Macaca fascicularis: one gene and its partners. The protein of the gene in region 2 interacts with the protein of the main gene of each other region in a biochemical or structural test. Links are inferred from orthologs where the notes say so. Each region holds a gene or a part of one and is shown on either strand. Other genes may lie near its edges.

Evidence for each region.
Region 1: the proteins of PBX1 (region 2) and HOXB1 are reported together in a solved structure, tested with the Homo sapiens proteins (2 studies listed by BioGRID and IntAct, with this or other methods). The link is inferred for Macaca fascicularis from reciprocal best matches to the Homo sapiens genes PBX1 and HOXB1.
Region 3: the proteins of PBX1 (region 2) and PKNOX1 form a complex in vitro, tested with the Homo sapiens proteins (2 studies listed by BioGRID). The link is inferred for Macaca fascicularis from reciprocal best matches to the Homo sapiens genes PBX1 and PKNOX1.

Annotation. Positions count from the first base shown.
Region 1 is NC_088390.1:58,186,862-58,191,182, reverse strand, and holds the start of HOXB1 (homeobox protein Hox-B1), read right to left. Parts: upstream 2,859-4,321; 5' UTR 1,643-2,858; coding exon 1,057-1,642; intron 606-1,056; coding exon 277-605; 3' UTR 1-276. UniProt on the Homo sapiens protein: Sequence-specific transcription factor which is part of a developmental regulatory system that provides cells with specific positional identities on the anterior-posterior axis. Acts on the anterior body structures.
Region 2 is NC_088375.1:22,595,826-22,599,473, reverse strand, and holds part of PBX1 (pre-B-cell leukemia transcription factor 1), read right to left. Parts: intron 2,349-3,648; coding exon 2,213-2,348; intron 1-2,212. UniProt on the Homo sapiens protein: Transcription factor which binds the DNA sequence 5'-TGATTGAT-3' as part of a heterodimer with HOX proteins such as HOXA1, HOXA5, HOXB7 and HOXB8. Binds to the DNA sequence 5'-TGATTGAC-3' in complex with a nuclear factor which is not a class I HOX protein.
Region 3 is NC_088377.1:4,023,132-4,026,779, forward strand, and holds part of PKNOX1 (homeobox protein PKNOX1), read right to left. Parts: intron 1,711-3,648; coding exon 1,539-1,710; intron 1-1,538. UniProt on the Homo sapiens protein: Activates transcription in the presence of PBX1A and HOXA1.

The DNA of each region.
Region 1 (4,321 bases), on a different chromosome or scaffold from region 2:
TTGATCCCCAGATCAAAGGCAGAAGCCCTTCCCTCTACCTTTGACAGGTTCCATGCCTCCCAGGCCACTGGTCGTGTAGGGCCCCCAGTCACCCAAGTCTGAGAAAAATGTTTCCCCATCCCCCCTCCTACTCCCAGGCAGCTCTAAACTGGCATTTCAGCCCTAGAGAGGATCCCCAGGCCAGTGAAGCCCAGGCCTGGGGTTGGGGAGAGCCTGGGATAGGGCTGGACTGGGGCGCTCCAGTGCCTGGAAGCCCCATTGGTGGCTAGGTTCAGTTCAGGAGGTGACAGAGCTGGGTGAGGCTTCTGGGGAGGTGCATGTTGACTGGTCTGAGGCATCTCCAGCCGCCTCCTTGGGGCAGCCTGGTGGGGCTGGGGGCACCCGACCTCCCTCTCGCTCGCGCTTCTTCTGCTTCATTCGTCGGTTCTGGAACCAAATCTTGACCTGCGTTTCATTGAGCTCCAGGGTGGCTGCGATCTCCACCCTCCGGGCCCGGCTCAGGTACTTGTTGAAATGGAACTCCTTTTCCAGTTCTGTCAGCTGCCTTGTGGTGAAGTTGGTGCGGAGGCCACTGGGCGAGCCCAGGCCGGGCTCTGACACCTTCCCTAGGGGCGGGGCAGGGAGAAAGCCCAGGTCAATTCTCTCACCTCTTCCTCCTTCCCCTTCCCTCCTCCCGGGGCTGGCTCTGGACCTCCATTCACCATTTTGCCCAAGTACAGTTGTCAAAGTTCCCAGGGACCCAGGTACCCCCATGGTGATCATCAAGTCCAGAGCAGCCTTCCCCATACTTCCATCCCCCGATGCACACCAGGTCCTGGGCCTGTGCTGGGTGCACAGATCAGGAAGTGGGGTGTGTATGGAAACTTACTCCTGGGGTGACCGGTTACATACTGGGTGAGGAGACCTCACCTGACCTGAGACATGGGTTGTGCTCTTACCTGTGTCTACCAGAGCCGCTGAAAGAGAAGAACCCAGCCCAGGCCCAGGACATGTCACTGCAGGGGAAGCAGAGATACTTTGGGCCCCGGAGAAGGGGTGGCCACATCTGAGCCCTACCTGTCTTGGGTGGGTTTCTCTTAACCTTCATCCAGTCGAAGGTCCGGGCCGTGGGGGTGTTAGGTTCTGAAGGGCAGGGCGCTTCCTTGTCCTCGGAGAGGAGATCAGCATAGGCCGGTGCAAAGCTCGCGGTCTGCTCGTTCCCATAAGGGGGATGCTGCGGAGGATACGGCCCCGGACCGGCTCCACCTGCTCCGTAGCCATCGGACAAGCCCCCTAGCTGGGCCCCGTAGCTGGTGGGATGAAAATAGCCTCCATCTCCTTCTGATTGACCCAGAGGGTAGTACTGAGAAGGCCCATAGCTGGGGCTGCAGGCGGCTGGGGCATACCCCGAGGGCGCGGAGCTGGGGAAGGGTACCCCCAGGGCCGAAGGCGGCTGCTGGGCGGGATAGCCGGAGTTCTGCTGAAACGCGGGGCTGGACAGCCCCCCACCGTAGCGGCCCTCGCTTGCATAGCTGTCAACCGCCTGAGTCGAGCTTGGGGGAAAGGAGGTTGGGGCGCTGTGGGCGCTGTGGGCGCTGTAGGCGCTGGGTCCCCGGTTACAGAGTGGGTACTCTAAGAAGGAGTTCATCCTATTATAGTCCATGCGTCAAGGCCACAGGAGGGTCGGCCCGTTTGGGGGAGACACCCTCTTGCCCTACAACCTTTCGGCAGTATGTCACAGCGCTGGGGCTCGAATCCATGGCCTGGCCCGCTCGCCTGGGCCAGCGCTTCCCTAGGAAGGGGGTAGGGAGTGGGGGTGAGGGGGCACATGTGATCTCTCCCAGGCCAATGGGCTAAGCGGGCCAGAGTTTGGCAGCCCCAGCGCCCATCCATCACCCCCCAAGCATTAGCATGACAAAGACACTTCAATCACCCTCAGCCCATCCATCTGAGAGCGACATGGAAGCGTCAAAAACATCTTTCTTCAAAGACTTTTGGAAAGAAGGGACTAGAGGGAGGGGGGAAAAAGTTAGGAGAATATTCAAGACTTTCCTTCCCTCCCAACCCCCAAGGCCTTCAATAGGCTCCTGGGTTATTAGATTGGGACAAATTCAAGCCAGCTGCCCCTCACTCTTCCTACCCCTCAAAGAAATCTTCCCCCCAAGTCTGTGGACCCGGAGGTAGGGAATCCAGCTTCCTTACTTTGCCCAGAACTCCCGAACCATGTTCCTTTCTTCCAATTTGTCTTAGGGTGATGGGCTAGGACAGCCGGGTGAGGTATGTTATCTTGGGCCAAATGGATTACTGTGTGGTAGGGCGGTTGGGGGAGGTGGTGCAAAAACACCTAAGGGTGTGGGGCAGGATCTAGAATCTAGAGGAAGAATTCATGAAGCCGGGGTGGGAAAATGGCATTTCAGGGAGCAAGGCAGGACTACAGAAATGTGGAGAAAAGGATGAGAAATGCCCCATCTTCCCTCTCTCTCTCTTTGCATAAATGTTCTGTCCTCATTCACACATCCATTTCTCTCCCTCAACCTCTCTTTATATTCTCTCTGTCTCAATCCATCTCTCTGTTCGTCCATCTTTCTCCATATTTATATTCGTTCCCTACCTATCCATCAACTCATCTCTCTAGATGTATTTATCCTCTCTCTAGCCATCCATAGCTGTAGCTAGCTCGCTCACTCAGACTTAAATAACTCCCTATATCTCTCTAGAGAGCCACAATAAGCACAGCCAGGTGATGTTTACAGGGAGGTGAAGAGGAGGGGAATTTTTTATTCTCTTCTTGAAGTGTTTAAAACTAGTAGAGACCTGTAATCTCCTGGTTCCCTCCTACCTGTCTCTCCTTCACCACCCTCCATCTCCTTCTAAAAAAAAAAAATTCCAAACCTCAGATGCATAAATTTAATACCAGTTAAATCTTAAAGATTACTCCAGATTTCAGTGATTTTTCTAGAATTGATAAAGGGAGTTTGGTTAGAGAGTGGGAAAATCAGGGTGGAGGCCCCGTGGCTCTGAATTCTAAGACTCCGGAGTGAGGAGTGGCATCTCGCCCCTTTTTGTTCTGTGTGGCTGTTGTGGAGGGACACGGGATGTGTCTTCTTCACTTTCTCAGACTCCAAACCCAGATGGGACTAGAAGAGAAGCCCTTAGGTAGAGCTCATTGATTCTCCTCCTCCAGGCAACTCGAGGGCAAGAGTTTGGCGCAATCCAACACCCACGCTCATTTGTAACCTGTCAGGGTGTCTGCCTGGTCGGAGGCCTGGGGCCGAAGCTAGGGCAAGTCCAGGAGGGCAAGAGTTCAGGGAGTGATCTCTGTAAACAATGAAGCTCAGGAGAGGAAAGGGAAGCAGGTGGGACAGGTTTAGGGAGGACCCTCAAAACTTCTCAGGTTTCCACACTCCAAAAAGGGCAGGATGAATATTCCTTCCTCTGCAAGGGACCCCAAAGTTGTCCCCCTCAGTCTGTGTCTTGCCCCTCCATCTTTGTCTCCCATTCCCTCTTGTTTTGCTTGACCTTGCCATAGCTGCCTCTCCTGCTTTCTGCTCTATACCACCAGCATCACACTGCCTTTCTCTTCTCTAGTAATTGTGGGCCTAGCCCAACTCTGTTTTTTTCGGGGAAAGGGTTTTGTTTTGTTTTTGGTTTTTGAGATGGGGTCTCACTCTGTCATCTAGATTGGAGTGCAGTGGCGTGATCTCCGCTTACTGCAACCTCTCTGCCTCCCAGTTTCAAGCAATCCTCTCACCTCAGCCTCCCAAGTAGCTGGGACCACAGTCATGCACCACTGGGCCTGGCTCATTTTTGTGTGTGTGTGTTTTTAGTAGAGACAGGGTTTCGCCATGTTGGCCAGGCTGGTCTTGAACCTCTGGCTTCAGTGATCTGCCTGCTTCGGCCTCCCAAAGTGCTAGGATTGCAGGCCTAAGCTGCTGCACCTGGCCATCACCCCCAACTCTGAAAGAGCTCAAAGCATTTCACAGAACCCCTGTCTCCTTTCCCTGATCATGTGTACTCTGCTTCAGACCCTGCTTCAAGCTGAGGGGGAGGGGGACCAGCTGGTAACTTCTTTAAGAGATGCAATGGGGGAGAGAGAGAATGTTCACTTGCCAAGGGAATGAGGGCAGACAAAAGAAAGGAAAATTGAGATGGGAGGAGGTGACCTGCAGAGGAATTGAAGAGAAAGAGATTATTGAGGTGAGAGCAAGCTTACTTCTTTCTATTTTACTTTTTTGGGGAGAAGATTTGCAGATGCTTCATCCTTTCATTTTAACATGTCTTCCACAGACACTAAGAATAACTTGTCTGGAGGAAACTAGGATTTGTCTTCTAACCCCAAATT
Region 2 (3,648 bases):
ACAGGCTCCCAGGGGATGCTGATGCTGCCTTCTGTGGATCACACTTCGAGTAGCTCTGGTATAGACAAGGGGCTCTTTAGGGATTTGGGGAGATACAGTCAACAGGCGGATTTCAGATAGATTTGGGTGTATGGGCAGCATATCTTTGTTTTGGGTCATGGGGTTTCAATAGCTTTTAGTGGATTTCAAAAGAATTTGTGACTTCAAAAAAAGACAATAATGATACAGTCCAAGAGGTATTCCCTGGCTTTGGGAACTAGGAGAAAGATTGAATAAATCATGTGATCCAACAAACCATGATTAGTAGATGGGGCAACTAAGACCCAAAAAGAAAGAGTGAGTTCCCTAGGATCCCACAGTTGACTCTTGTCAAAAATATGCTCCTTGCTTAATGCTCTTTCTATGATATCATATATTGTCTCCCATTGGACTTGTTTAACAATGGTAGCTTAGTTGCTTTGGGGAGAGACAGATGTGATGAGGAAGAAAGAATGGCATGACTTTGGCATGGGCAGAGGAAAGGGAAAGGTGACACAATATGTAAATAAGCATTTTAATGGACACACTATTTGTACCTTGAGTTTCCATAATGAAGGAAGTGAAGGTTGTGGGAACAGATCAGGATTTTAACTTGTATCCAGCTATACTACAAATTACCTCCAGGAGAATTCCTTTTACCTTCAACACGGAGTTGAAATTCTGAATTCCACACTTGGAATTCAGACAGCAGTAATTTAATTCTACTTTAAACGCAGAAGGTTCCAGGATAAAATTCACTGATTTAATATTTGCTCCTTGTTTGTGGTCCATACCTAGAAGCATTCCTGAAACATGCAGCAAGTATCAAAAAGCATTAATTCCCTTTTTTTGTGGACAAGGGGTCTAGATTTGGACAAGAATGGTGATAGCCCTAGAAAAAACTAGGCTACTTGAATTTCACCACTGACATTCCAGTTTCCCAGAATTGTCAAGACTGAAAATGACCTTCAGCTGGGTCAAAGCACCTAAGGAAGGCCCAAGTTAAAAAGGAGTCAATTCTTTCTGCTTTATCTGAAAGAATGTTTTCAAGGATATTTGCTGCTGTAAAATCATCTTAGTTTGTTGGGGAGGCTCGGCCAATCCCTTCATTGTCAATACCTTTTGTGGAGCTCTATATTCTGACTGGACCTAATTCTGTATAGGTAAACACAGGTTGATGGGATCAGCACCCTGCAGGGATCAACAGAAATCAGGATTCAATTCAAGGAGGTACAGATGCTTAGTTTATATAAAGGAGCATCTGCTTCATTTGAAAAGTGGTAAGTGAAATTTCTCACTACAGTAGTCTTCACTACTCCCTCCCCTCCCCAGTTTTAATGGAAATACCTGTACATTTAATTCTCCTGCATGTGACCAAATTCTAAGAAAAACTTTCTTCGACAGATTTCAGAACTATCACTATAGGTCTCAATTAGAAACCAGTGGTGGTATTTGAGGTTCAGACTGAATAAGAAGTTTGGGTGGATCTTTTGAGCGGACAAAATGTACGTACGTATAAATATTGCCTACTGTTCTGCTTCATATTCATATTGAAAACTCTAGGCCTATAACAATTTTATATCATGTATCTTTCCAAGTCAACAGACACCACCTGTTATGGTTATTGCTCTTTGGGGGAAGGGCGCATTCAGTGACATTTTATTCAACCATTCCAATGTAATCGCAGTGACATGTTAAAATTCCTACACTCCATCAGTTAGAGAGTCAGCACATCAAGAGGAGACATTTAAGTTCCTTTCATTTAAAAGGCTATATAACAACTAGTTCCATTCACTGACTCTTAAAGTTCCTGGGTTGGGCAAAAAATGGCTAAGGAATTGACTGAGTTTGAAAAAACAGCATGAGGAATGCAGGTAACTTCCCTAGTACACTTTAGACACCTCACCCATTTGAAGCAAAGGAGTGCTTGTTGGAAAGAACCCTAACCCTGTTTTTACACTGTACTCTACTTATTCTTCTCTTCCTTCTGCTGGTCCTTCTCAAGTTTTGCCAAGTACTTACCTAGAAACTCACTTATACACATATACATCAAGTGCTTACCTTGATATTTTAAGGCTACAGCTGATGGAACTTGCAAGGCATGAATGTCCAGTAAAGCAAGACCTCCAAGAGCCTGCCCTGGAGGCCCCACCATGGCCAGGCTACAGGCTGAGGCTTTTGAGGGGCTGCTTACCTGGGAGACTGTGATGCCACACTTCTTGGCTAACTCCTCTTTGGCTTCCTCACTGGGGTAAGGGTTGCTGAGATGGGAATAGAAATATTCATTCAGGATTTCTGTCGCTTGCTTGTTGAAATTCCGTCTCTTCCGCCTTTGTAAAGAGAAAGGAAACAATAACAAAAAGGCTCACACCAAATAAACATAAAATGGGAGAGAATAGAATCTACTTCTGGGAGAAGACAAATTTTTGAGCAAAAGGTGAATTGGAGCACATTTACTAAAAGGGGCTGGATGCCAAAACCATAACTAAAAGCATTTGCTCAATACTTCATTGTGTACCATCTGGGCACCAAACAGAAGAGTGGTCATGGATATTTTTGCAGAGTAGTGAGGAGCATAAAGTTTCAAAATTCGGGCCATCTTGGTTTGTTCACTCTGTCACCCAGGTTGGAGTGCAGTGGTGTGATCTTGGCTCACTTTGAACCTCCACCTCCCGGGTTCAAGCGATTCTCCTGCCTCAGCCTCTTGTGTAGCTGGGATTACAGGCACACACCACCACACCCGGCTAATGTTTGTATTTTTAGTAGAGATGGGGTTTCATCATATTGGCTAGGTTGGTCTCTAACTCATGACCTCATCATCTTCCTGCCTTGGCCTCCCAAAGTGCTGGGATTACAGGTGTGAGCCATTACGCCCAGCCCCATCTTGGTTTTGAATCCTGGGTCAATTGAATATCAGCTGGGTAATTTTGACCAGCTTCTTCAATGAAAGTGAAGAGGGTCATACTGACTTCACAGGGTGAGAGTAGGGAAGAGATGAGACCACACAAAGACAGCATTCAGCACAGCGCCCAACACATGGCAGGTGCTACTACAGCTTGGTCTTTCTTCTTACCACGTTCCAGGCACTGGGCCTTACCCCTCCCTCTTGGCAATCAATTCAAGTTATTCATTTTTCACAACTACTGAGGTGGATATGATTATTTGTATTTACCGATAAAGAACAGAGCTCAAAGGTCACTCAGCTGGTATGTAACAGAGCCAAGGTATTAATTCAGGTCTGACCGACAACAAAACCCAGTCTCTCTCTTCTACACAAATGAGCTCCTCACAATTACACAGAGATTCTGCAGCCATAAGTTAAAAATAAGTTATCATGTTCTTTCCATTCTATCCCCATGTAAATGCACGTAACATTCTTAAAAGGCATCTGGAGAAGAGGGCACAGAACTGACTGAAATTAACCCCCAACAGCTTGACCTCCCTCAGGAGATGAAAAGTGGCACTTCTTAAGCAAGAACAGCTGCTAAATGGTAAAACAAAAGCCCACAGAATTCTTTTTCACATACAGGTTGCCAAAAAGGAGAAAATCACTTTTTTTGAATAAAAGCATTTTTCTGCCTTAAAAAAGAAAAAGTGCTAATTGAACTAATTTAAAGTGAGAATCACTTT
Region 3 (3,648 bases), on a different chromosome or scaffold from region 2:
CAGAATTTTCTTAAAAACTAAGACCTCTGCAATTTATTCAGGAAAAATTAGTTTTCCGAAAACCTTTTCTGTTGAAGGCCCTAACCAGGGTTTTGATATGGGACCAAGATGGCTCGAAGGGAATCCAGTGAAGGTTCCCTGACGCCGGATCTTTATGTACCCAGCTCTGAGAAGCAAACACGGTGGTTACGCTCTGGCAGGAGAGCAGACCCAGAGAGTGTGGCCTGCCCAGACCAAGCTGGCAGCGCTGCACAGGTGCCTCAGGCGCAGCTCGCTCAGAGCGATCCAGTGATGACGGAACCAAGGAGTTCTCCATTGCCTCCGGAGGGCACAGAAAATGCTGGATCTTGGAGCCCTGGCCCTGGGAGGAAGGCACCACAAATCACTGTCAGCCTCTAGACAGAGCTGTCTTGGAGAATACAACTCAAGTCTGTGTCCATGTCTATGATAAACCAAGGACAGACGCAGGTCACAGACATGTTGCCCGAACACCCCAGCCCTACGGACCTTTACAAACGCTGTGCAGAGAGAACCGAATCCCCGTGTCCATCTGGCATGGCGACTCAAATTATTTGATTTGATTTTTTTTTTTTTTGAGACACGGTCTCACTCTGTCACCCAGGCTGGAGTGCAGTGGTACAATCTTGGCTCACTGCAACCTCTGCCTCCTGGGTTCAAGTGCTTCTCCTGCCTCAGCCTCCTGAGTAACTGGGACTATAGGCGTGTGCCACCACGCCCAGCTAATTTTGTATTTTTAGTAAGGACGGGGATTTGCCATGTTGGCCAAGCTGGTGTCAAACTCCTGACCTTGTGATCCACCCATTTCGGCCTCCCAAAGTGCTGGGATTACAAGAGTGAGCCACCCCACCCGGCCTGTTTTATTTGATTTTTTTTTTTTTTTTTTTTTTTTGAGATGGAGTCTCGCTCTGTCGCCCAGGATGGAGTGTAGTGGCGTGTAGTGGTGCGATCTCAGCTCACTGCAAGCTCCGCCTCCCAGGTTCATGCCATTCTCCTGCCTCAGCCTCCTGAGTAGCTGGGACTACAGGTGCCCGCCACCACGCCCGGCTAATTTTTTGAATTTTTAGTAGAGTCAGGGTTTCACCGTGTTAGCCAGGATGGTCTCAATCTCCTGACTTCGTGATCTGCCCGCCTTGGCCTCCCAAAGTGCTGGGATTACAGGCGTGAGCCACTGCACCCAGTCTTTATTTGATTTTTAAAGGAAAGGGTAGGTTTGGCCTTGGGAGGCCAAGGAGGGAGGATTGCTTGAGGCCAGGAGTTTGAGGCCATCCTGGGGAACACAGTAAGATGTGTCTACACAAATAAAATAAATTAAAAATAAAAACTAACTAAATAAAAGATACCTAGAGAAGGCTGGAAGACGGGCATATCCACATTACACACACCATAAAAATTAGTTCTTTTAGAGTTGTATGAGTCTGTCCTTTAGCAGAACTACAAGCAGTCTACAGTTCTACTTAGAAGCCTAAAATTTCATAAACATATTTCACATTTTGAAAAATAAAATTTATTTCACTTACCAAATTGTCAGTTTCTGGATCTTCACAAAAGAAAGGTTTCCCTTCCTTCTCTTGCTTCCTTACAAAATTTTCGATGTCTACATCAAAACTGGCAGAAGTTGTGCCTTCGGAGCCCTGTGTAGATTGTTCACATTTTTCAAACAACAAAGCTAATAATGGAAATAGTGGATGCCTGAGGAGAAAAGACAAAAATAATCCATTTACGTTCTACATCTCCATGAGAATGTCTTTGCACGTACGCCTGCACTATTTCACCTAACACCTCTGCTGGTTGAAAATTCACATACCACACAGTTCATCCATTTAAAGTATGCAATTCAACGGTTTTTAGAGTTGCACAGTCATTGCCACCGTCAACTTTAGAACATTTCCATCATCCCTGCAAAGAAACCCTGTATCTAATAGCAGTCATTCTCCATTGTTTCCCAAACCCCAGCCGACTAGAACCTATTTGCTATCTCTATACATTTGCCTCTTCTAGACATTTCGTATGAATGGGAATCTTATAACATGTGACCGTGGTGTCTGGCTTGTTTCCCTCAGCATAATGTGTCCAAGGCTCACCAGTGTTGTGACAGGTATCAGTCCTTTTTTTTTTTTTTTTTTTTTTTTTTAGACGGAGTCTTGCTCTGTGGCCCAAGCTGGAGTGCAGTGGCCGGATCTCGGGTCACTACAACCTCTGCCTCCCGGGTTTAAGCGATTCTTCTACTTAGCCCCTCAAGTAGCTGGGACTACAGGCACCTGCCATGACGCCTGGCTAATTTGTTTTATTTTTTGAGACAGAGTTTCGCTCTTGTTGCCCAGGCTGGAGTGCAATGGCGTGATCTCAGTTCACCGCAACTTCTGCCTCCTGGGTTCAAGTGATTCTCCTGCCACAGCCTCCCGAGTAGCTGGGACTACAGGCACGCACCACCAGGACTCAGCTAATTTTGTACTTTTAGTAGAGATGGGGTTTCTCCATGTTGGTCAGGCTGGTCTCAAACTCCTGACCTCAGATGATCTGCCCACCTCAGCCTCCCAAAGTGCCAGGATTACAGGCGTGAGCCACCGCACCTGGCCTAATTTTTGTATTTTTAGTACAGATAAGATTTCGCCATTTTTGGCCAGGCTGGTCTCGAACTCCTGACCTAAAGTGATCTGCCCAACTCGGCCTCCCAGAGTCCTGGGATTACAGGCATGAGCCACTGCACCTGCCACTTCATTCCTTTTACTGCTAAATATTATTGCATTGCATGGAGATGCCATAATATGTCTGTTCATTCATTAGTTGATGGGCACGGGCACTGTTTCCAGCTTTTGGCCATGACAGGCAGTGCTGCTATGAAGATTCATGTACACGTTTTTGTGTGGACTTTTTTCATTTGTCTTAGGTATATATATGCATAGAAGTAGAACTGCTGACTTGTATGTAATTCTACGCTGAACTTTAAAAAAAAATTTTTTATTTTTTTTTTTTGAGATAGGGTCTCACTCTCTGTCACCCAGACTGGAGTGTAGTGGCACGATCTCAGCTGACTGCAACCTCAGCCTACCAGGTTCAAGTGATTCTTCCACCTCGGCCTCCAGAGTAGCTGGGACTACAGGAATGCGCCACCACACCCGGCTAATATTTATATTTTTTGGTAAAGACAGGGTTTCGCCATGTTGGCCAGTCTGGTCTAGAACTCCTGACCTCAGGTGATCCACCCACCTCGGCCTCCCAAAGTGCTGGGATTACAGGGGTGAACCACCGCGCCCGGCCTGATCGACTTTTAAATACTAAACCAGTCTGGCGTTCCCAGGAAAAACTTGACTTGGTCGCTATGTATTATTCTTTTCACATATTGCTAGAATTGATTTGTTAATATTGCACTGATGATTTTTACATCGAAGTTCGTGAAGGATACTGGCCTGTATTTTCCTGGTATTGTCTTTGGTCTTAGTGTCAGAGTGATGTCAATAAATTTATAGATTTATTTTCTAAAACTTTTTTAGGTATTAGAAATAACATCTTTGTGTGTGTATGTGTGAGACAGAGTTTCATTCTTGTTGCCCAGGCTGGAGTGAAATGGCACGATCTCAGCTCAAAGCAATCTCCGCCTCCCCGGTTCAAGCGATTCTCCTGCCTCAG